3 linked regions of the Lepisosteus oculatus genome follow. The protein of the gene in region 2 purifies or fractionates together with the protein of the main gene of each other region. This does not show direct contact. Links are inferred from orthologs where the notes say so. Each region holds a gene or a part of one and is shown on either strand. Other genes may lie near its edges. The genes, in order: smc5, SMC5-SMC6 complex localization factor protein 2 and slf1.

What was found.
Region 1: the proteins of SMC5-SMC6 complex localization factor protein 2 (region 2) and smc5 purify together in Homo sapiens (affinity purification with mass spectrometry; 3 studies listed by BioGRID and IntAct, with this or other methods). This does not show direct contact. The link is inferred for Lepisosteus oculatus from reciprocal best matches to the Homo sapiens genes SLF2 and SMC5.
Region 3: the proteins of SMC5-SMC6 complex localization factor protein 2 (region 2) and slf1 purify together in Homo sapiens (co-immunoprecipitation; 3 studies listed by BioGRID and IntAct, with this or other methods). This does not show direct contact. The link is inferred for Lepisosteus oculatus from reciprocal best matches to the Homo sapiens genes SLF2 and SLF1.

Annotation. Positions count from the first base shown.
Region 1 is NC_090698.1:58,127,401-58,135,239, forward strand, and holds the start of smc5 (structural maintenance of chromosomes protein 5), read left to right. Parts: upstream 1-4,759; 5' UTR 4,760-4,781; coding exon 4,782-4,951; intron 4,952-6,147; coding exon 6,148-6,289; intron 6,290-7,396; coding exon 7,397-7,449; intron 7,450-7,698; coding exon 7,699-7,839. UniProt on the Homo sapiens protein: Core component of the SMC5-SMC6 complex, a complex involved in repair of DNA double-strand breaks by homologous recombination.
Region 2 is NC_090699.1:45,370,137-45,377,392, forward strand, and holds the start of SMC5-SMC6 complex localization factor protein 2, read left to right. Parts: upstream 1-4,222; 5' UTR 4,223-4,232; coding exon of another isoform or gene 4,233-4,267; intron 4,268-7,256. UniProt on the Homo sapiens protein: Plays a role in the DNA damage response (DDR) pathway by regulating postreplication repair of UV-damaged DNA and genomic stability maintenance.
Region 3 is NC_090698.1:73,865,273-73,872,751, forward strand, and holds the start of slf1 (SMC5-SMC6 complex localization factor protein 1), read left to right. Parts: upstream 1-4,478; 5' UTR 4,479-4,573; coding exon 4,574-4,784; intron 4,785-4,984; exon of another isoform or gene 4,985-5,137; intron 5,138-6,611; coding exon 6,612-6,781; intron 6,782-7,479. Other genes in the region: uncharacterized protein KIAA0825 homolog, read right to left, coding at 1-126. UniProt on the Homo sapiens protein: Plays a role in the DNA damage response (DDR) pathway by regulating postreplication repair of UV-damaged DNA and genomic stability maintenance.

The sequences.
Region 1 (7,839 bases), on a different chromosome or scaffold from region 2:
AGTGGCAACCCTATCCAGATTCCCCCTCGCCTGTCTGCTCAGTTTGGAGGGACATGTTAATCAATGCAGTTTCTGGGTGGTACGATATACCTTCAAATTCTTAATGATTGACTTCATTGTGGTCAAGGTGTCCTTGAAAGTTTTTTATTCCCTTCTCTTGATCTGTGCCCTTCAATGCTTTTGTCCCTGAGTTGCTTTTAAAGCTCAAATCTACCTGACTGAGGACCTTCACAGAGACAGATGTGTTTATTCTGATATACAATACATTACCTTGAGTTGTCCCTCTGAGTCTGGTGATCCTAAGTGAGACGGGGTCAATCACACATCATGTCAGTTAATAGTATTGCTAGAGTCTTGTGAAGGTAGTCGATGAACCTTGAATCATCTAATGACTTCATGCTGCTAGGCTTCTGCGAGCAGAATTCCTCGAGTGTAAAGCCTCTCTTCTTTGCTGAGCTGTGACATTGCTGCAGTCTAATAAAATCAAGAGAACTAGTGCGCAAACACCACATTCACATGTCGCATGTCATACTCATAGTCATTCACCTTGAGTAGTTTTTTCTGTCTTATATACTGTATGTCTGTATTTATAGACAAACAATATATATGAGGTAACTACAGTATATACTGTAAATAAGACATTTGAAATTAGCATTTGAGGAGAAAATGTGCTAAAATATATCAATCTATTTACTAAGCATAGTAATTATTTAAAAATATATGCACTTGACATTATTTAAATATGCAAAGGAACAAGTAATAGGTTTATTCCATGCTGAAAAAAAGAAGAAAGAGAACACAACGTTTCGGCCGTGGAGCCTTCTTCAGGTGTCACACCTGAAGAAGGCTCCACGGCCGAAACATTGTGTTCTCTTTCTTCTTTTTTTCAGCATGGAATAAACCTATTACTTGTTCCTTTGCAGCCTACGCATGCTGACGCAGCTACCCACCTGAATTATTTAAATATTAGCATCAATCAAGGAAACAAGGTAATTGAGTTAGAAATACTAATGTATAGTATAAGTATATGACAATGTTATATATTGTAAGGAGTTTGGTGTTGTTAATGAGGTTTTCATAGCCACATGAGCTCAGTTTACTACAGTAAATGGGTTGATTTCTGTCTTATCTGCATTTACAATTGTAATCTTACTCTTAGTTTCACAAACATTAAAATATTTAACTTGATCCAGTTTTATAAAAATGTATATAACTGTTTTATAAAATTAGGTTGCTATTGCACAGTGCTTTTGGCTTACAGAAAATCACTAATAAATTATTATTATTATTGAGAACAAATGTTGTGTTTTTAAAATTAAAAAAAATACTGGGAACTACATAAGTGTCAGTTCTGTTTTTAATTTTTCTAACTTTTTTATTTTTTAACATTTACCACAAGTATGTCAACCATACAACATACTTTTTATGCCTTCATTTCATTGGCTGGCAGGCACCTCATTATTGAGTGTCACACTGCTACAAAGCCTCCTCAAGTATTTTCATTGATATCAACATTGATTGAAAATGAAGTGAAAAGTATAAGTTTTTACAAAAGAAGGCTACTGGACTCCTATTGGCTCAACTTCAAATTCACTCAGTGCTGAATAGAATAGAATTGTAAAACAAATGAATTTCTCTAAATACAAGCTTCAGATGAATGTTCCAGTGTTATTCTATTAATTATTTTTTTAGATGACATAGCTGCTGAGTTTTATAGCTAGGTGAGTCTAAATCCAACTCAGTCTTGGAGAGATCATGAGTTTTTAGGTTTTCGAGGCCTCATTAAAACAGCAGCACCTTATGTACTGGGAGTTGTTGGTCAAAGTGATCAGATTAAGCCAATAATGAGCTAGTTGAAGTTATTAAGAGCTTGGAAGGAAAGAGAACCTGTACATCATCTTTCTAGGACTGAAGTAGTGTCATCCTGCCCTAATAGATAAACTAAAAAAATACAAACAGCACACATGCTTTAAACCAGAGTTCACTTCTAGGACTCACCCACTGAAATACTTGCACATTGTAAACATCATTAAAAGGGGCAATTTAATAAATCACAAGGAAACTACAGTGCCAAAACAGTTTGGGTTCATACATTTACATCAAGTGAAATACTGTATTCTCAGCATTCATAGAAACCTTATTACACTATGTTTGTTTTTAGAAAATCCAGTATACAGATTTTGTATATTGATTAGCTGTTTTAGGCATCATTTGGAGTAATGGAGCATTCCTGACTCTGTGATTACTCTCGAGTGCCCATGACGTTGCACTTTACTTGCATAAGCAGTAAATCACCTCATGAGAGAGAGAGCTGACTGGGCGGAGGTGATGAGTTGATTTATCCAGCTAAATGTCAAATAGTGGTGAAATTCAAGAATTGCAAAACAAAGAAAGGACCCATATGGCCCACCTACCAAGAGGACAACAGCTTTTTGCCAGCAGCATGTTGCAGAGGCTTTAGGTTGGCTTGCGAACAGTGAAGCCAAGTCCCTTTTAGCAGTGAACCACAGTTTTATGTTGCCCACGCTGATGGGCACACATGCAGAATAATGGAATGCCACCAGGTGTCATGGAGTGTTCATCAGTTCCTGTTTTGGCACGGTTTCACTCATAGTGATTGATAGCTCTCCAGCCCCCTAAGAGTAACCTGACTGCACTGCCCTACATTGATAAAGGCCTGGCCTTCACCTACTCCTCCTCCTGTGGGCTCATCCTGGTATGACAACTGTCCAGCAGGAACACCCAGCTCCTCATGCTCGTGTAACAGTGACTTGCCTGAGAAGTGAGAATGTGGATCTTATGGTTTGGGTGCACTTGCCAGGCTAGAGACTAACTGGACTAACTGGACATTCGTGGGATGATCTGGGGTGACATAACATCTAGGGCTTAGAGACCAGCGAATGGGCAATGTAGTAATAACAAATGGTTATCAGCATTAAGAATTGAGCCATATTATCTCTTTTGCACCTACTACAAATTTTTCTGATCAGAACGTAGTGAATTTGAAGGTGGAAATGGTGTTTCTTTTGATTCTCATTGTAGTTCCATATACCAAACCTTTGATGGACTAAAATCTTTAATTTTCCTGTGAACATCCCTAATGCTCTACTCCCATCTAGTGGAAGAAAACAGTACTATTCTTCACTATTCTTTGTGTGGGGTCCAAAGACATACTGGTAGGTTAATTGGCTTCTGGGAAAATTTGCACTGTTACTATCTATCCCTTATCAGAAAGTCTCTCATTTCTGTGAGCCCATGCATGCAAGAAGTGCTGTTATTGTGATTTCCCCAGATCAAATATGCTCAGCACATTCTAAGCTGCTTGTTTGTCAGAGTGTCTCTAAGCTGTTAAAAGACATGTGTTTTGCACATGTTATACCAGTGAATTCTAGCCCTGGTACTGTAGGAATACTGTGTCCTCTCTCTGGCTTTTGCTCCAGTCATGTTCTAAATTACAGGCTAATTGATTTCAGTTTTCTGTTTTGGGTATATACAGTATGTACATTTGGTACTGGAATCCACACTGAACCAATGCTTGTGTTACAGAGCTACATTCTTTCAAGGTGTGCTGCTTGCGATGTAGCTGACAGAACCTCTGACTGCGGGAGTGTGTGAATTATTGTCAATCGCCTGAGTGTGATTGTTAGAAACTGATATGGTGTCAAGAGCTATCTGGTCAGAAATCTGGTTAAGCAAATTGGGTTTCAACTGTTTAATGGTCTGTTTATGCTGAGGGTGTTGGAAACAGCACTTTTCAAGTGGGGGTAGTGCTGAATGCTACTGCAGGAGCAAATAAAAAAAACTAAACAATCATGGTTATCCATTAAAGGCATCAATTAGCACTGCAGATTTAGAGTTCAGCTGGATGGAAAATCAGGAAACATGACATGTATGATATTCTGCTAAAGAGTTCAATGCAATTGTCTCTCAGCTATAAACCCAAACCTAACACAGCAGAGTGATGAAGCCAATATCTATGTATAGATGGGGATTATTTGGAGGCCATGATTGGTAATGGCCAAGGGGGTATTGGATCATGGAGCGGTGGCACTGAGGCTAAGCTGGGGTATGTGAAAAGACAAATTCCTAATGCAAGAAATTGTATTCAGCTAATAAAGTGATCTTCATATGGACACCAGAGTAACACCACTACTGCTTTCAAGAAACACCCTGGGACTTTTAATGACCAGGGAGAGTCAGGACCATTGTTTTACATCTCATCCAAAGGACAGCACCTTTTTACAGTATAATGTCCCTGTCACTATACTGGGGCATTAGGACCCACCCAGACTGCAGGTGAGTGCCCACTACTGGTTGCACCAACACCTCTTCCAGCACCAACCTTAGTTTTTCCAGTAGGTCTCACATCCAAGTACTGGCCAGGCTCACACCTGCTGAGCTTAAGTGGGCTGCCAGTTGTGAGATGCAGGGTGATATGGTTGCTGGCTAATAGGGCAATTGAAAACAGACGTGCAACTAACTGTACAGAATATACTGTAGAAAAATAAAACACCAGCTTGTTCTTCCCAGGATATGTGTTTATGTCGACCTTTGCTGCTGTCTTTGGAGACTTACAAGGTATTCTAAATCCGTCGTTACACAACGGCAGCATCACACCACGTGTCAGAAAACTCACTTTGTTTTCTACCGGTTTGTACGTCACGGTCTGCCTGGTTGAAATGCTGGGAGTATAACCAATAGCGAAGGTTTCCGGCAGGCGGGAACCTCCTGGTGCTTCCCTCGCCTGCGTCACAACGCGAGCAGTTTTTTTATTCGTCAAGATGGCGGCCTCTAACAAGAGGAAGCGAGTCAGTCACCAGTTCGCGAACAGCAACAACAGTGAAGGCGCTTCAACTTCGAGAGCAAACAATACGCTTCATTCAGTTGGAGATGACAAAAAAGACCACTTTGTTGAGGGGTCCATTGTCAGGATTTCAATGGAAAATTTCTTGTAAGTAGACGGGCGCTAAGATGCTCGAACAGCGGCACAACGCCAACTTACTGCCGCTGCGTTCTACTTTTTGAGACTTGAGTTTCGTTATGATATCAAAGAGGCGTAACGTGCACAAATAGCAATATTTTAAAAGTTGGTGCTCACATTTCATTTGGGCTTGCTAATCTCGCACCTGAGCTTAGCAGCTGAAGAAGAATCAATCGGAAGAAACGTTTTTGAAACGCGCATCATTTGGTGGTGCAGGTGCCGTTTGGTTTATGTTCTCCTAAAATAGAAAAATAAAAATACGCTGGTGTTCGAAAACAGGCAAACAAACACATTGCTGAAAGGGCTAAACAAACTAGCGAATTTATTATGTTAAACCGAAATCTTGACACTTTTATTATTATTATTATTATTATTATTATTATTATTATTATTATTATTATTATACTGCAGATGCAATGTTTCTATTCAGTGGTGTAGGTGAATTGCTCTCCGGGCTTGTAGACCCGTGAAGTCCACCTTATTTTTATTCACCTTATAGGTGAAGCAGTTTCTCTCTTCACAAGATCTGTGTTACTGTTAGGGTCCTGCTGGCGCAGAATTCCCCTTTACTGGGGAATGAAACAGGTTCTCGTATTATATATAATATGTACGTGAAGCGCTTGAACAACGGTATCCCACACAGGACTGTGTGCAGGTTTCCTCCATTGTGTCTGCATGATGTCTACACAGCTCTCGGTAGTTAATTCATGACGACGGTGCATCATCCAGGCGGGTACTGCACATGGGTGGAGGAGAGTTCCCACTGCCTGGAAAGCTCTTTTACTGGAGTGTCCAGAAAGGCGCTATATAAATGTGCAAACGCTCAGATATCCCAGATATATGTTTAATGAAACAACAAAAAAAGGCTCTCCCGGCAGAAGCGTCCCTGTGTTTACATGCGACCATGGCATTCTGGCTTCAGACAGGTGGCAAGTGTACCCTTCAGAGACTGTCTTTTACCAAAGAACAGTGTACTTTCTAAAAGGAGCAGACGTTGCCCCTTTTACCATTGTATATCTGAATGCGATGAGATGCTTTTACACTCTTTTCTGTAGTTTCATGGAGTGAAAGTCTGGTTTGACCTCTGTTATGGGTAAGTTTTGTAAAAAGGCACTTTTAAAGTGATGAAAAGGCATGGTCGGTTTTGTTGTTTTTTTTTCTTACAGAACCTATGACAGGTGTGACGTGTATCCAGGACCGAATCTGAACATGATTGTGGGAGCTAACGGCACCGGGAAATCGAGCATAGTTTGTGCCATCTGCTTGGGGCTCGCAGGAAAGACAGGATTTTTAGGAAGAGGCGATAAAGTGAGTTGTTTAGTTTCTGGATTTTCATGTTGTAGGGTATGAATTTTACGAGAGGGGGTAGTGTCCGTTTTCAGAGCCTCAGTGCTGCGGTTTTTCATGAAAATTTGGTGCCTTGAAGTCAAACGTGTCTCTCTCGGAACAGAAAGTACATCATGTAAGTCAGGCTGTCAGCCAAAGCCTTTAGCTTATGTTGAACAGAAGAGGCCTGGACCTCCTGGCATCTTCTTCAAGGCACTCTAGGAAGGGTTGGTACTTTACAGTTGTGGAGTTAGAATGAATGTCCGATTTCCCAGAACTGTAGAGTAACTCCAGAGTTCCCCACCCTGCTCCTAGTGAACCACACTCCTGCTGGTGTTCATTTCCCCTGAACCTGGATACCTACCCGGATCTTTTACTGAACCAACAAGTTGCTTGATGGCTAATGGGTAATTTTTTTTTTGCCTACCCCAAAGGTTGGGATTGTCTTTTTTTTATGAAGTGGGCCCGTTGAAAAGTGGAGAAACCCATTTCAACATGTTTAAGAACATGAAAACAGACTCGCAATTGAAATGAATTCTATTTGTAAGTCAGTTAAGGGTTCAGTGGTGTAACTGGGAGCTTGGCTTGGGCTGCTTGCACCAATAGCCCCCTGTTCGTTTCCTGTCAGGTGGTTAGAAAGGAATGTGGATTTCAGGACCACAGAGCAGCACACCGCCTTTTGATCCCTAAATTAAAGAATTTTAGTTGTCTGTTCTGTTTTTTTTTCCACTTGTAGGTGCTATTTGTATCTCAGGTGAAACAGATATTGTTCCTAAAAATTTACAAAAGTTAAAAATAAATCCCTTCTGTGAAGGAAATACATTTTTTACTCTTCATCTGTAATACGTTCATAGGGATACAAAGTCAAACTTGAAAGTTTACTTTGGACCTGGCTTTTAAAAGGGTAGGTTTAGCTCCGGCATTTCACAATCCCCATTAATTTTCTAATCTATTGTTTGTGCCCAGCAGTCTACATTTTTGTTTGTAAATTTACTTAATTGTAATAGTAAGGGTTTACTGTATATTTGTTAATTCCTAATGTAAGGCTGTTGTGCTTACAATGATTTAATAGTAATATTTGTGTTTTAGGTTGGTCTTTATGTAAAACGAGGGTGCAGCAAGGGTTCCATTGAAATTGAATTGTAAGTAAAAAGTCCTGATAGTTGATAGTAGATCCTAAAATATATGTTCTGGGCAGAAATATGAATTGCAGAATGTGCAGTTTATTTGAACTATTAAAGCATTTTCAAAAATTAACGTCCTTTTGTGGAAAGGGACACAAAAGGTAATCTGCAACTTTTCTTAAAATTGTTTAACTAAAGTATTACCCAAGCATAATGGAGTTTTTTTTGTTAAAAGTACTTCATCTTATTAAACAATTTTTTTTGTAGGTACAAGTGTGAAGGCAATCTTAAGATAAATCGAGAAATTCACGTTGAAAACAATCAGTCCACATGGATGATCAATGGCAAACATGCAAGTCAGAAAACTGTGGAAGAGGCAGTGAAAGCACTTCAAATACAAGTTGGAAA
Region 2 (7,256 bases):
CGACAGAGTGAGAGGGGTGTTTTTATTAACAGTTTCAGAACATCTGGGTTTGGCAAAATCTTTATCAGATGGATTAAAATGTTTCATCATTTTCATTCACCATCTGTAATAACAAATGCATTCATTATACAAGTCTTGAGGCTATTTAGAAGACCTAGACAAGATCCCTGTGGCTATTTTCTGTCTTTATTGAACCTTTGGCTGTGGCTATCCATCTAAATGTGTAGAAACCTAAACAAGACATAAAACCACTCTATATGCATGATGATATATTACTGTATTTACAACAATCAAATATTACTATTACAAATAATATTTGCACCCATATTTTTCAGTGCTATAAATAATTTTGGTTACATTGCAGGTTACAGATTTGATTGGTCTAAATTAATGTTCCTGTCATCAACTAACCCGATCGGAATGGAAGAGCCCTGGGCCTTCCTCTGCTCCGCCAGTGAGATTCGATACTCATACCAGCTAATGAGAGAGAATTCCATTATCTTTATCAGCTTCCATCCTGAGAATCATCCCTCAGGATCTTGAAAGAACTCCCATCTGTTTTACAGATTGTACTGTGAGAGAACGAATGTACACCCAAAGATAAACCTATTTTCTGTCATCGATGTGTAACAATAAAAAAAAAAGTGCGTGGAGTTCTCGGAAACAAGACAGACCCACACAGAAGCAAAAACGTCCCTGAATTCCCACTCCCACATCAGCTGTAGGCAACACGTGCAGATAAAGGAGGTGTTTTATTTCACCTGTGATTTCCCAATCAGTAATGGGTGTGATTCATTTGGGTAATTGACATTCTGGGCCTTCTCTTCATGTTTGCATTTCCATGTAGATTTCAAATAGCATTTAAATTGGTTAAAACTGAACAAGGGTTTTTTTTCTCTACTGATACTGGGTACAGCTGAACGAGTAAGCAATCCAATACACCTGAAGAAGTAATAGGTTAATTCCATGCTGAAAAGAGAAGAAGGAAAAGGCTGTGGAGCCTTCTTCAGGTGACACCTTTATCCTCTTTTCAGTATGGAATAAACCTTTGCTTGTTCCTTTGTGGCCTACACACGCTGACACAGCTACCCATCTGAACTATCCCAATACACTTGTTGTACATGGCAAATACAAAATCTTGAATCTTGGACTTTGTCTTTAAGTGTGCGTCCGCATCCCGTCTCAATTGTTGGAAGTATATAGCGGATAAATAATTAGAGAGCTGTTGTAAGATTAGTTAGTGATGAATTGTTGAAAAAGCTTGACACATTGAAACTACTTTTAAACTGCTATTAACTCATTTTGTATTTTTAATATGACTCATGGTGTTTCTCCAATATCCAATATTTGGTTTTACCAATGGAATCCTAATCCCCGCTAACAGAAAGACTGGATTTTGTTTCTAACTAAGGTCTGGCTACTGATGACATCTGTAAGTGCCCAATGAGGCTCACCGGTAAGCAGTGAAGCACCAGAGTTTGCAAAGTAACTGGTTTGTAGGTGCGCACAAATAAGCATATTTCTCTTAAAGATTGCTATGAGGTTGTGTGAACCTTCCTCCCCCAGTGGAAACAAAAATAGGAATGGAGTTTTGCACGGAGGATGTTTTCTCTGAGCCCTGTATCTGTTGTGTATAAGGCTACTTGAACATGACAGTGGTACAACACAACTGCTGATTATTGTTAATACCCTGCAGGAAATGTGGGTTTCCGGCACTCTGTTCCTGTTTGCTTCCATTGAGGGAAAAGGGTCATCCATTCAATATAAACGTTTGCACTGAGTTCATTAAACAGCTAAAAGCCTATTATCCTCCAGCCTGATGAAAATAAGAGTAGCTATCTGCTCACAATGTATTGGATAGCTGCTTTCTTGTCTTTTGGTATTGGCCAACAATTATCCAGTTTCAGGAGAATATTTGAGACATCTGTCATCTTGGGCTGTAACATTCCTGTCTCCTTGTTGTATGTTTAGTTGAAGGTATTTCTTCTATTAACTTCAGCAATTCTCAGTTTTTATGTCGGTCACACCTTAAAACTAATAATACCATCTAGAAGCACAGGCCAAACATCTCCATTAACCAATGGCCTAACTTAATGACCGAAACATTAAGACCTCTTGAAAGATTCACTGCTTCTTTACAATAATTAATTCATTTATTTTTATCTAGAATCTTTCCTTATCCTTACTACAACCACAAGGGCGCCACCTCCTCAAATTTCAGGAAACATTAACTGTAGCACTATTGTTCTTTTCATATTAACACACATGCAACAATTTCCCCTTATGGTCAGTAACTGTTGTTGGCAAGTACAATTACTTTTCCATTATAATTGTGCTGGTGCTTTTTTGTAATCATGTGCATATTTATATACATATTCAGCAATAAGTTGTGGTCTATGTGGGTCCTAATTTCACAGTATAGTGATGGGGACTCTATATTTTAAAAAGGCACCGTACTTCGGATGAGACATAAAACTGAGGTCCCGACTCTCTGTGGTCATTAAAGATTTCTCGAAAAGAGTAGGGGTTGTCACCCTGGTGTCCTACCCAAATTCCCCTCTGGTCTCCTAATAATCCCCATCTCTGAACTGGCTTTGTCACTCTGTTCTCCTCCCCACTGATAGCTGATGTGTGGTGAGTGTACTGGCGCACTATGGCTGCTGTTGCATCATCCAGGTGGGGCTGCACACTGGTAGTAGTGGAGGGGATCCCCATTTCCTGAGTGGGGTATTCAGAAAAGCGCTATATAAGTGTAAGGAATTGTTATTAATTATCTCAGCTCTAGCCAATATCTAATAAAAAACAATTACTCTTCACATTAATTTCTTCCTTATACTGTGTTGGAATTTTAATCAAGGCCTTTCATTTTATTTCAGTGGTTATGTTAGACCCAGGTGAATGTAATATAGTAAAAACAACTGTCAAGCCCCAAATTCAATAAAAAAAGACTTTGATAAAATTCAAGACTGGGCCAACACCTGTCAGATTATTTTTAATGGAGACAAGTGCAGGGTTTCACATGCAGGTAGTAAAAACATACACTGTAAATAAAAAAAGGGAAACAATGAAACAGAAGAGACAACTTATTAAAAACACATCAGTTACTTCTTCCACACAATGTGGAGAAAGAAAAAAAAGAAAAACATGTTAAGGTATACAGTTAAAAGCATAGAATTTAAATGTGTTAAAACTGTATCAGTACTAGTGAAATGTAATTTAGAATATTGTGTACAATTTTGGTCGCCATATTATAGAAAATATATCGCTGTTCCAGCATCAGTCCAGAAAGAAGCAACCAGATACTGGGGCTGAAGGCCCTGTCCCACGCTGACAGTCTGATAGGAAGCCAGAAGGAACTGAACTCTTTTCACCTTGAATAGCGAAGAGAACCTCACGGGAATTGAAAGTAATTCCTACCCCCTGCAGTAGGTGGCAGTAGCGCCTGGATTGAGGTTTCGTATCTGGCTGCCTACACACCTCTTTGTAAGTTAAGTCTCCTGAGTTGTTTGGCATGAGAGGCTGTTCCAGCGCACTGCCCCCCCAGGAGATGCGTCATCTGCGCGGACTGTTTTCCCTCCAGCTCTATTGAGTATCCATCTATACGAATAAGGATTTTCCAGTACCCAGAAAGAAATTTGACCAATAGAGCCTCGGAACAACAGGATTCCCAATCACAAATTACAAATCCGAACTCATTAAATAACATGATATCTTTGTTCTTTTTGCCTTAGTTTTCATGTATAATCGAGTTTAGATAATACTGAATTTCCTCCTTATGGACATTAAAAGAGGGAGGTAGCACCGGATCAAATGTTTCGTGCATATGATATGTATCTACCAATTTTTAATAACAGATTTATTATGAATACATTTCCGGTGGTACACCTTACAAAACAAAACATCAAAGTCCTCACATCTGAAGTTTTACATGTCTGCGTAGACTTTGACCGCTCGAGGCTGCGAGAGCCAGTGACGTCACTTCCGAAGACTCTCGGGCGGGTTTTGCGCAGAAGCTGCGCCAGTCCCGCGCGACGTGAGCGCGGCTGTCAGCTCTCCATTTGCCCAGATCTCTTACGTCACCGGCTCGAAACCAGCACCGAAAATATGGCGGCTGCGGGGCTGTCCAGAGAGCGGTGAATTGAGGGCGGGAGAGGGGTTAATTCATTTTTGAGAGAAAGAACCGAGACTCGGAATGGGTACAGGAGTTTTCTAACTCCTTTTTCCCCCCCACAATGAAAGAGAGAAAGCCGCTGGGGCAAACTGGAGGGTAAGTCGTTTCAGCACTGAAATGTGTGGAGTAGCAACGGAAGCTTTGCGGCACAACTGAGCTGCGTCTGTTGTGTAGTTGTTGGAAAGCATTCACGCTGGCCATAACAAGTTAAATAGACCGAGCGTTTCTTCTTTTTTCTCGTCCATGACTTGCGAGCTGACCTTTGCTGACTTGGACAGCGGTGCTGTTTCTGAAAAAGCTGCTGTTCCGTGTTTAGGGTGTAGTCCTACATGTACCCCACTGCAAGTTGAAGCACCGGTTGGCGGTGGTTGGCCGGTGTGAGGCTGTTCTCCCGCCAGGAGAAGTCAGAAGTAAAGTAGTGTGCTGCCCGGATGGACACCGTTATCCTCGTGTGATTTCAGCTGGGAAATCTGCTTTTGCGTTGCGTTTCGAATGGCGACAGTGGGTCGTTTTTGGCTGCGGAGCACAACCCATTCACAGTTGATCATCCTGACCAGCTTAGCTTGTGACTGTCTCGGTGGGGGGTGTGTGGTGTGTGCGCTTGATCACTTGATGCTTTGTCTATGAGGTGCCACTGCGCATATCCTGACTGCTTGTCGTTTTTCCACACTTACTGGTTATTGTCCCGGCAGGGCCCCCCGTGTCGCGCGGGACAGGGGGCTCCGGTCCTTCCAGTTCAGTTCAGTACAGGCGGCGCTCCAAACTCTCGCCAAACCGAAACCTATCTCTGAGTCACGGGGTGCCAGCAGGAGAGAATACCCTGGCCAGGTCACCAGACCTTCTCAGGATACACACAGTATGTAGGGAGACAGTGATCCTGCCAGCATGTTTTTGAAAGTTGAGAAAATCCGTGCGTATATGTGTAGAAACTTAACACAGAAAGTACCCAAAGTCCAGATCTGTGAGCCAGTAGTGCTGTCACAGCACTGTGCCATAGCAAACTTTATTTTTGTGATGAGTTGTGTGATGAGCTACCTGTTAGTTGTCGTGGTCTTGTCTTAAGTCACCTTGTTTACTGCTGATAGCATGTTTTCTGCTGCTGTTTTAAAATGAGTGAAGTTTTTGTTGTTAAGCTCTGTCTCTGTTGCCAACTTAGAGATGTTCAACTTTATCAGAGATGTCTTGGAGGGTAGGTTGCACTTATAAATGAGTCGGGTGACTAGCTATTTTATGGGCTGATATATTTCCGCTGATAAGGAGAACAGAATTTGACAACATAGTGGCTTAATCCCAGTCTGTCCCCTTCACCCATCCATTTTCTTGCTGCTTTTTCCAATCCGGGGTCACAGGTTATCTGGAGTCTATCCCAGCAAACAGTGGGTACACACACATCTTTCGCAGGGCACGCACACGCATACACTCACACCAGGGCCAGTTTTCCCAGAAGCTAATTTACCTGTGACCTGTGTATTTGGACTGTGGGAGGAAATCCACTCAAACACAGGGAGAACATACAAACTCCACACAGATAGCAGCCCAGGAACTGAGCCAAGGGCTCCAGCGCTGTCAGGCAGCAGTGCAACCCACTGCACTGCCAGGCTACCCTCCATCATCTTCAGCACCATATAAACGCACACAGGAAAATACCACGCCTGTCTGTGTAGACCTTTACTGATGTAAAATCAGCTGTGTATATAAATCGGGGTGCTGGTCTGGTCCTTCTGCAGATGTGATCTTTGGTGGCTGTGGTTAGGCTGATATGGTTATTTGCCCATCTTGAGCTTTTAGCCTTCACTTGATGCCACTGGGAGGAAACAGGTCTGAAGGTGGCTGATTTGGATACATGGCAGAATAATCGCTGAAATGCTTTGATAGAAAATTAGCTTTGTGATTCTTGAGCAAGTGTACAACTTGTACCCTCTGGGTTCGGCAGAGAGCCTGGTTATGACTTTATGTGAGGAGCTGGCCTTGGCGTTATACTTTGACTGGTCCTATTGGGAAATAGCCGCCTTTAAGCAGGAGTCTTTGGCGGGGTTGGAGTTTCATTTCTCTGAAAATGAGTTTTCTCTTTGGAGCTAGTTCAAAATATTGCTCAGCAGCAGAGCCGACCGCAGCTGGGATGGGGAGGGGTTTGTGCACAGGTTTGTGCTTGGCACCGAGGTGAAGAAATATTCAGGTAACACGTTAGAGGACTGACCCAGCAGCCTTTTTTGGTTTTGTTATTCGTTTTGTCAGCCTCATAGCCACAGAGCGAACCTGTTGAGGTGCTCAGCACAAAAAGATACAAATGAGTAAAGTACTGGGATCCAGGTGGTGAGGGTGCAAGCCAGGCTTATGTCGCCTTGTTGTGATCAGTTATCCCCCTTGTGGAAGCACATGTTTGGGAGAACGCTGCTGGGGTTTGGATTGGGATTGGCCGGCCAAGTCCTGGGGCTCCAGCGATCGCTGCATCTTCCCGGTCACCTGCGGGCTGGTGGTGGAGTCGGTGAGGGTTGCTGTCAGTGACGAACCTGCTCTACTTCGGGATCGGAGTGTGTACTGAGTCTGAGGATGAAAGAGGGGCTGGAGGGAGTCTTGTCTGCTGTTCCTCCTCTCCATATGGGTGCAGAAGTGACTGTTGTGACAGAACGCTATGTTTGCTGGTTCAGAATCCTTTTAACATACAATTGACAAACAATGGGAAATTCTAAGTTATTTCTGACTCCCAAGAATCTCCGCTTTATTCATCTTAAGTAATGAGCTAGAGTTTTTGTTCAGGAATAAGAAATGTGCTGTATTACTTTGGCGGAAGGTTCTGATATTAAATGTTTATCGGGAGGTTTAGGGATGCTGAATAACCTTGGCTGGGCTCTCTACATCTGCTTGAGTTATGCATTTCGTGGTGGAGGACGAGTTCCTTACTAGTGTAGAATAAAAATCCCCTGGAGACCTTTTTGCTGAGCAGAAGAGGAGTTTATTGTATATTTAGCCAAAGAGAAGCACCCTCCTCTCAATTAGGAAGATGGTTCCAACAATAAAAGTTACGGCTGACCTTTTATACACTTACTTGATAAGGAATACAAAGAGCTTAAGTCTCAAAAAGGAA
Region 3 (7,479 bases), on a different chromosome or scaffold from region 2:
GGCATTCAGCTTCAGCTTCTCCTCGGTATCCTGCAGCGCTTGCTGGATCTCCAGGTCCCCCGGCACGCCACTGAACACGCAGCCTGCAAAGCAGTGGTCTTGAAGGAACTCTCCCTGCCACTCCATCTCTGACAGCTGGAAGCAAGCACAACACACATCGCAAGCCTGGCTTCCCAGAACATCCACATTTTCCCCTTATTGGCAAATGTGAAATGACTCAGTCACATTCCAGGAATCATTTCAATGAAAAAATAAACGGATTATTTTATTCTGTTATACATAAACATAAAATTACGACATCTCAGAGACAGTTATTTGATTTCCCTATGGGCAGATCGCAGATTATACATCCACTGTATCATCTGTCTGACTTTACACCAACACCTGTGTGGAGTGAGTGTTTTATTCCTTTATTTTTTCTGTCTTGAGACAGGCCGAGGCACTGTGCGAAGCAAGGACTGATCATAAATGCATAGACTCGGTGAAGGACTGCAGGACGGTAATGAGTTAACAGAAAAGGGATCTTCATTCTCATTTTAAATAAACAATCCCCCTCTGCTGCTGTATTCTTTAGTACTTGATACTTAACATATCCTAACAGCAAATCCAGCACTGGGGGATCTATGATATCAACACAGTCATCATGAGTCAAGTGGACTATAATGGAGAGTGTCAGTGTCAATTTCACTTTCTCACACTCCCTTCCCTTCATCTCCCCTGATTTTAATAATCCCTGTCAAACTACAAACAGCCTGCGATACCTTCCTGACACAAAAGCCTTCAGCTCGAAGACAGAATCTCAACATTCATTTACCCCGTACAAAAGAAAGCTGTCCAGCTGGACAAATATTATTTCCTCACTTGACAATCTCTACAGTTAAGCTTGTATTTGTATTATTTCCTCTTCTCTCCCCCCACCAGCCCCTCTATCAGGCAGCCAGTTTATAAAGGGACCTGCTGCAATGTGCAGGGTTTCATTTGTGGGATTAGAAAGCCAACGATGTAATTATGGAGCAAAAGGAGAAAAAGGAAATATGTTACACAAAAGGCTGCACATCACTGCATGTGTCTGAAGTAAGCGAAAGCAATGATAAAGTGTCAAGTTTTTACTGTCACTGCAAAACCCTAATTAGGACAAGGCGGACTAGATTTTTTTTTCATTATTTATTTTGAAAACAAATGTGAAAACTTCAGAGTTTTTGAAAGCTGCCACACAGGGAAGACGTATTTATTCACACGGCAGTTACCACATCAAGTGAAACGAGCTCATCTCGTCTCTCACATACATACCACCTATACTGTTCTTGTAATAATGAGGAACTTGTAAAATATTTAGCAGCCTGTTCTAACAGTGCAGATGTGCAGCATTTTTTTAAAACATAGGCAAAAACCTTTGATTAAATTTACATCAATATTTTGTTAATTTAAAAAAAAGATGCATAAGCAAAGCCAAGAATGATAGACACTATTATAGTCATTGAAGATGCAAGTACATTTGAACATATACTGTAATTTTAATGAATACTTTGTTTCTTTAAACAGGTTTTGAATTAATCCATAATTCAAATATGCATATACTGAATGTATAACTCAAAATATATTTCAGATTAAAAAGTAACAACCATGGTGAGACAATGACAGCCTGTTACAATTAGAAGGTCTGCAGATTGTAAACTGTGCATTTAGAGAAACTGTAGGCAGTTTAATCATGAAAACAGTTAGCTTAAATCCTAGCAACTCTCCTTTCATTCCTATTCGCTATAAATGAAAATAGCTATTTGTGTGATGATCCCAGTTTAAACATTAGTTTTTATTCATAACAAAGGCCATCACCTTACAGCTACAGAACTAATTTTAAAAAAATGAAATTGAGTATTTCACTTAATTGTGCTTGAAGTCCAGCTGATTTTCAATAAAACTATTTAATTTATTAATCTCTGTTTCTTCTGATGAATATACCATAGTTTAGCGTAGGTTAAAGGTTAAACACAGCTAATTGTGAATATTTCTTATGAGAAAAAGAAAAGTCTTTGGCATACAGTGGAGGTTAATTGCTAAAAGGATTTTAAATGAGCGCCTTATCTTTTTATTTTGTGTAGTATTCAAGAATGTGGCATTGACTTTGTGCACTTAAAACTGTTAATAATTAGAGCTGTGCAATAAAATCCTTGAAACTTCTCTGGCCACAGGGCGAACAGGCTGGTTTCAGTCAGAGAGGGCAAGAGAAACCTCTCACGCAAGTGTTTCCTGAAAACGTCTCTGAAGTTCAGCAATATGATTCTTTAAATTATATGCCATACAACTTGACATTATTTACCCCAAGTTTGCACATTTACTACTATTACTACTATTAGAGTAGACTAACATTTTAGGTATTTCAAAGGTCTGCAATTTATTAAAGACCTCTTTTTTTAAAAAACAAAAGTTTTTTTTTTACTTCCATTATGCTGGTCTTTATACACTGGTAGAGATTTCCTAAGACATAGCCAATGCAACAGAATTGAATGCTCTGGTGTTCTATGTAGAACACAGGTGGCACAAGCATTAAGTGAACTGAATACACACACAATACACAGTGAAACCACATGTAACTCAAACTTATCTCAAGTCTTCTGTTTGTGCACGTTGTAAGCTTGTGCAATTTTCAAGTTCTATTCTATTACCTTTGGTGAAAGCTGCCCATTACACGCTGTTATAAAAAAAATCTTCCAAAAAAAACAGAAGAAACATCCTTAAAAAAATTAGATAGGACATGTATTACCATGCAAATAATATGTTAATATTTTACTTCATCAAAGGCTGAATTTTCAGAACACTTCCTCTGCTGTGAACCAGCCCAGCTCAAGCAAGAAAATAACAAACCAATCTGGGATAGAGTCCTCCCATCAGAAGAGGTCAAAGCCTGAGCTCTATCTCCGTTTTCCATTCAAATAGCAGAAATGCCATTTTTCATTGTTTAAAGGTTATTTATGCTACAGAATCGTCATAAAATCCATTTCTGGATTGTTGACGTTGTCTTGGAAAGAGGTGGATGGATCCTTGCTTTTCTTTTTCAAAGGAATACTTAACAGAAAAGGATTGTCAAACTGTAGGGCACATTTATTGGGCTTTAAGTGTGAACAGACACTCTGATAACATATCTTTTGAGGGCAGAAAATGGGGGGGGGGGGGTCTAGGAACTGTCATTTTAAGGCCTTTAGAAACAACTCCCTGTCGTTTAATGGGGGGGGGGCTAAACAGATGGAAGAGTCCAACAGCAGTGAGTCAGCTTTCTGTATCCGAGAGACTGATCGCTTCTAGTACAGTATTCAATGCAACTACGTGTAGAAAAGCAGACAAGGAGCACAGAGAGAACACAGTACCTTGAGTCAAACGGCCGAGTCCCGGGACTTCCTTCCCACTGCCTGTGGACGAGATGGATGACTGTTTAAAACACACTTTTAAACTGGGGTCATAGAGTGAAAGACTCGTCTAATACTCAAGGGAACCGCCAATGCAGTATCATCTTAAAGTGTCTGACAGCTTACTGAACGGTGGTTCAAACCGCGACAAATGTCCAGTTTCCCTGGTACTCACGAGTTCAAACCACATTGCAAAATAAATGAATCATTCCTTTATCAATTTACTGAGACCTTTCCTTTATTCTGAAACTATCGTTACAAGAGCATACATTGCTCCACCTATTTAACAGTTGCAATAAATATGATAGTAATAAAATTAATTTACATTTGTTTATAGTGCGAGGTCGTCAGTATTTTTTGGTGAGGTATGTTTTTCCAAGTTTTGAAAACACATTCAACGGTTCTCTGATAGACTTATTGCAGGTGCCAATCAAAACGACGACCCCAGTATTTTGTAGTTGTCGTTTGTTAAAATATCCGCCAATAAATCCGAGCGAGATCATAAAAAAACACACATACTGTATGTTGTTTAGACGTGGCTTTGAACAGTTTTATGTCCAGCGTCTAGGCTATCGTCAAATGTTTATTTACGTTTTTTGGAAACAGTACTAAAAAATGCTTATGAGGCATCCGTGTGCGTTTACAAAAAGGATTCCGTTTCAGCTAGAAACACTGAATGAGCGTACCAGGACCCACAACGGGCAACACAGATTGAAATTAATTTCCCGCATCATGAAAGTGAAACCCTCACTCCTCTCACAGCCTAAGAGCGTCTCTAACAACCAACCGGAAGAAACAACCATCAACTTCCGCCGCAGAGGACTAGCACATCACGGTTTTCTGGGTGTTTGAGGTGGTCCGACGAATTATATTTCAGAGACATAAACATTCATCAACTAATACAATATATATGTGACGTCTTAAAAATTAAAGTATATTTGGTAAAATGTACATAACATTGAATCTAAAGTCAATCCCGGTGTTCGGAGCCGACACATGCCCGTGTTCACCCCTGTTATGGAAGTGAAACAGTCCGCCCGATCGTCCCCACGAGACCGGTGAGACTGGAGCATTCGCAAGCGGCAGGGGTGTCTGTGTTTGGGGGTGCGAAAGGTTGGTGCGGGTGCGTGACTGGAAAGAAGCTTTCTTCCCCCCCCCCCTCCCCACGGCTGATGCTATTCGCGAGCTCTTCGAGACAGATTCCACTTCCGCGCCACTTGTTTTGGTGGATGGTGGGGTCACCTTGCGGGTGGTGTTCTGGCGGCCCACCCCTGCTCGTACAGGGATGGTACGCCCCCGGCCGGGCGCGTGCTGGCGGTCTGAAACCTTTTGGCGCTAAAATGAGCGGCGCTGGCAGGGGTGGGGATGTGAGCGGTCTGCAAGGTACGTCACGGCCCTAAAAATACTGCGTTATTAAACTCGTGTCACTTATTCTACAGCGGGCGCCCTGTGTAATTCTGGCAGTGGGAACGGTGTGATGTGGTTCACTTTTTGGCGTGAGGCTCTGGACTCCCCGTCACAGCTGCTGTGACTCCGTGTCTTTTGTTTTGATTTTTTTTTTGTTTTGGTTTCGGTTCCGCCAGCGCGGTCGCCTGCTCCGAACACCTGGAGGAGTTTCACGTCTCACCCCCCGTGTGGGTGAGTGACCGTGGGGTTTCTCCCTGCGGGGTAAACCTCTGCCGGGTGTCCAGGAGACACGGATAACTAATTCACAACGGGGAGAAGAGGAATAAAAGGTGCGAGCCTTATGGTTTTAAAGGCGTCTTTTCTTTTTTTTTTAAATATGTTTTGAAAGGAAAGGAGAACTTGCCATTTTTTGATAAGCTTGGGGTTCGTGTTTCTAAGACAGAAAATAGTACAGCATCTTAATATTGGTTTTCCTCCAGGCCAGATCGAAACAACCTTGAAACGGCTAGCAAACGTACTATATTCACCCCCCCTTGGACCTTTTCACATTAATAGACGCCCAATGTATTTATTTGGGGCTTTTTGCCATTGATCAACACAAAACACGCTATAATGTCAAAGTGGAAACGAATGTGAGAACAGATCCTACTTAATCAGTTATAAATACAAAGCAGAAAATAAGCATTTGCATAAATATTCACCCTCCTTCACTATGACACGCCTAAGTGGGCTCTGGTGTCGCCGACAGATGTCTTTACCAGTCACATCATTTGTTGGATGGGGTCCACCAGCGCGCAGTAAGGGTGTTTCACATGCGTTCAGGATAAGTGTAACTGAACACGTCTCTGGGAGGTCCCACGGTTCATTATTACAGCTCCCAACACAAGTTACATCATGAAGACAAAGGAGCTTTCACAGTAAGTCATGGAGAGGGTTATTGAAAAGCTCCAGTCAGGGGAAGGGTATAAGAAAATTTCCAAGGCATTACATTATATCCCCCAAAGCACAATAAAGTCCATTCTAAAGAAATGTAGACAATATGGCACAACTGTGAAACAGAGTGTCCTCAAAAACTGAGTATCTGTGTGAGAAGAGCACTAGTCAGTGAGGCCATCAAGAGGCCTGTGACACTTCTAAAGGAGTTAGAGTCTTCCATGGCTGAGATGGGAGAAACTGTGCATATGACATGGGTGCCTTGTCACTGCATCAGGGCCTGGAAGAATTGTGACGTTAGAAGGAAAAATGGATGCGGAAAGTACAGAGAAATCTTGGAGGAAAACCTGCGACAGTCTGCAAGGGACACTGGACCGACCCAAAACATACGGCCGAGGCCAAGCTTTGGAGTGGCTTGGAAAGTCAAAGCCCGGACCCCAATCCAGTCAAGCATCCGTGGCAGGAGTTGAAAAATTCCTGTTCATCAACTTTTTCCCATCCAACCTGAGGGAGTCTGAGCAATTTTGCAAAGTAGAGTGGGCAAAAACTGCGGTGTCCCAGTGTGCCGATAAACTGAAGCAAGCAGACCCATTACCGTGATTTCTGCCAAGCATGCCTCTCCCACATACTGATAAAAAGGGGGTGAATACTGTACAGTATGTGATCAGTTATTTTCTTTTTTAAATATTGATCATTAATTTAGGAGGATTTGTAGAATTTCGTTTTCCCTTTGACATTACAGAGTGTTTTCTCTCGATCAGTGGCGAAAGCTCCCGGTTAAATATATTATGATTCTTTATTGTAACACAATAAAAATACAGTGAAGTTCATGGGGGAGGTGAAAAGTTTTAATTCCCTCTTTCTCACCAGCTTCAGTCTGCAGAAACGGGGTTGAGAGATGTCAAGGAATGTGTTGTCTCTCTAGAATGGCTGCCGAGCCGGAACGCGTTTTCCAGATCTCTGGAATCCGAAACGCAGAGACGAAGAGGAGTTTGCTGAAGTGCATTTCCAGTCTGGGCGGGATATACGCTGGTGGATCGGTGAGTTGGGGTTTGTGTCCAGTCCTGCTCCCGGAGTGCTGGTGTCTCTGCAGCACTTCCAGTTCTCCTTGAATGACCAGCTGGGGGGGATCAGCTGAGACAGTAATCAGCTGTCAAGGGAAAGGGAACGACCGTCCAACCCACATTCCCACATTCCCAGCGGGACCAGCACCCTGAAGTCAGGGAATGACGAGCTCAGTTAGGTCTTTCAGAGAAGAAGGAGTGATGGCTGTCGGTGATCGACATTCTGCACCTCTGATTAAGCACTTGGTCGTGTTTAACAAGCGGCTGATCGGCAGTGGGTCTTCTAAAACAGTTCTGTTCTGCGCGGTTGAGAAAGGTGCAGTGCCCTGTTGGCTCAGCTTTAGGAAGCATGCGTCCACTCTCTTTACACCACACCTGGAGCAGAGGGCAGCGGATCTCGAGGAAACCCCCTTCATTAAAATGCTCGTCCGTCAATATGATTTTCGCGTGTGACAAACTTTTTTGCTTTCGGGTCTTTGATTCTGGCCAGCTTCATTGAGTTGAATTTTAATCTAAAATGATGGAAGGCTACGCTGTACCTATCACTCAGTTGATTAGAATAATAGCAGCTGAAGGTTAGATCTGATAGCTGACCTAATTTGTTCTGATATTGCAATGTATTTTTGACTTTTTAATTTTATCCTCGCCCTCAATTGCCTCTTTTTATAGTCATT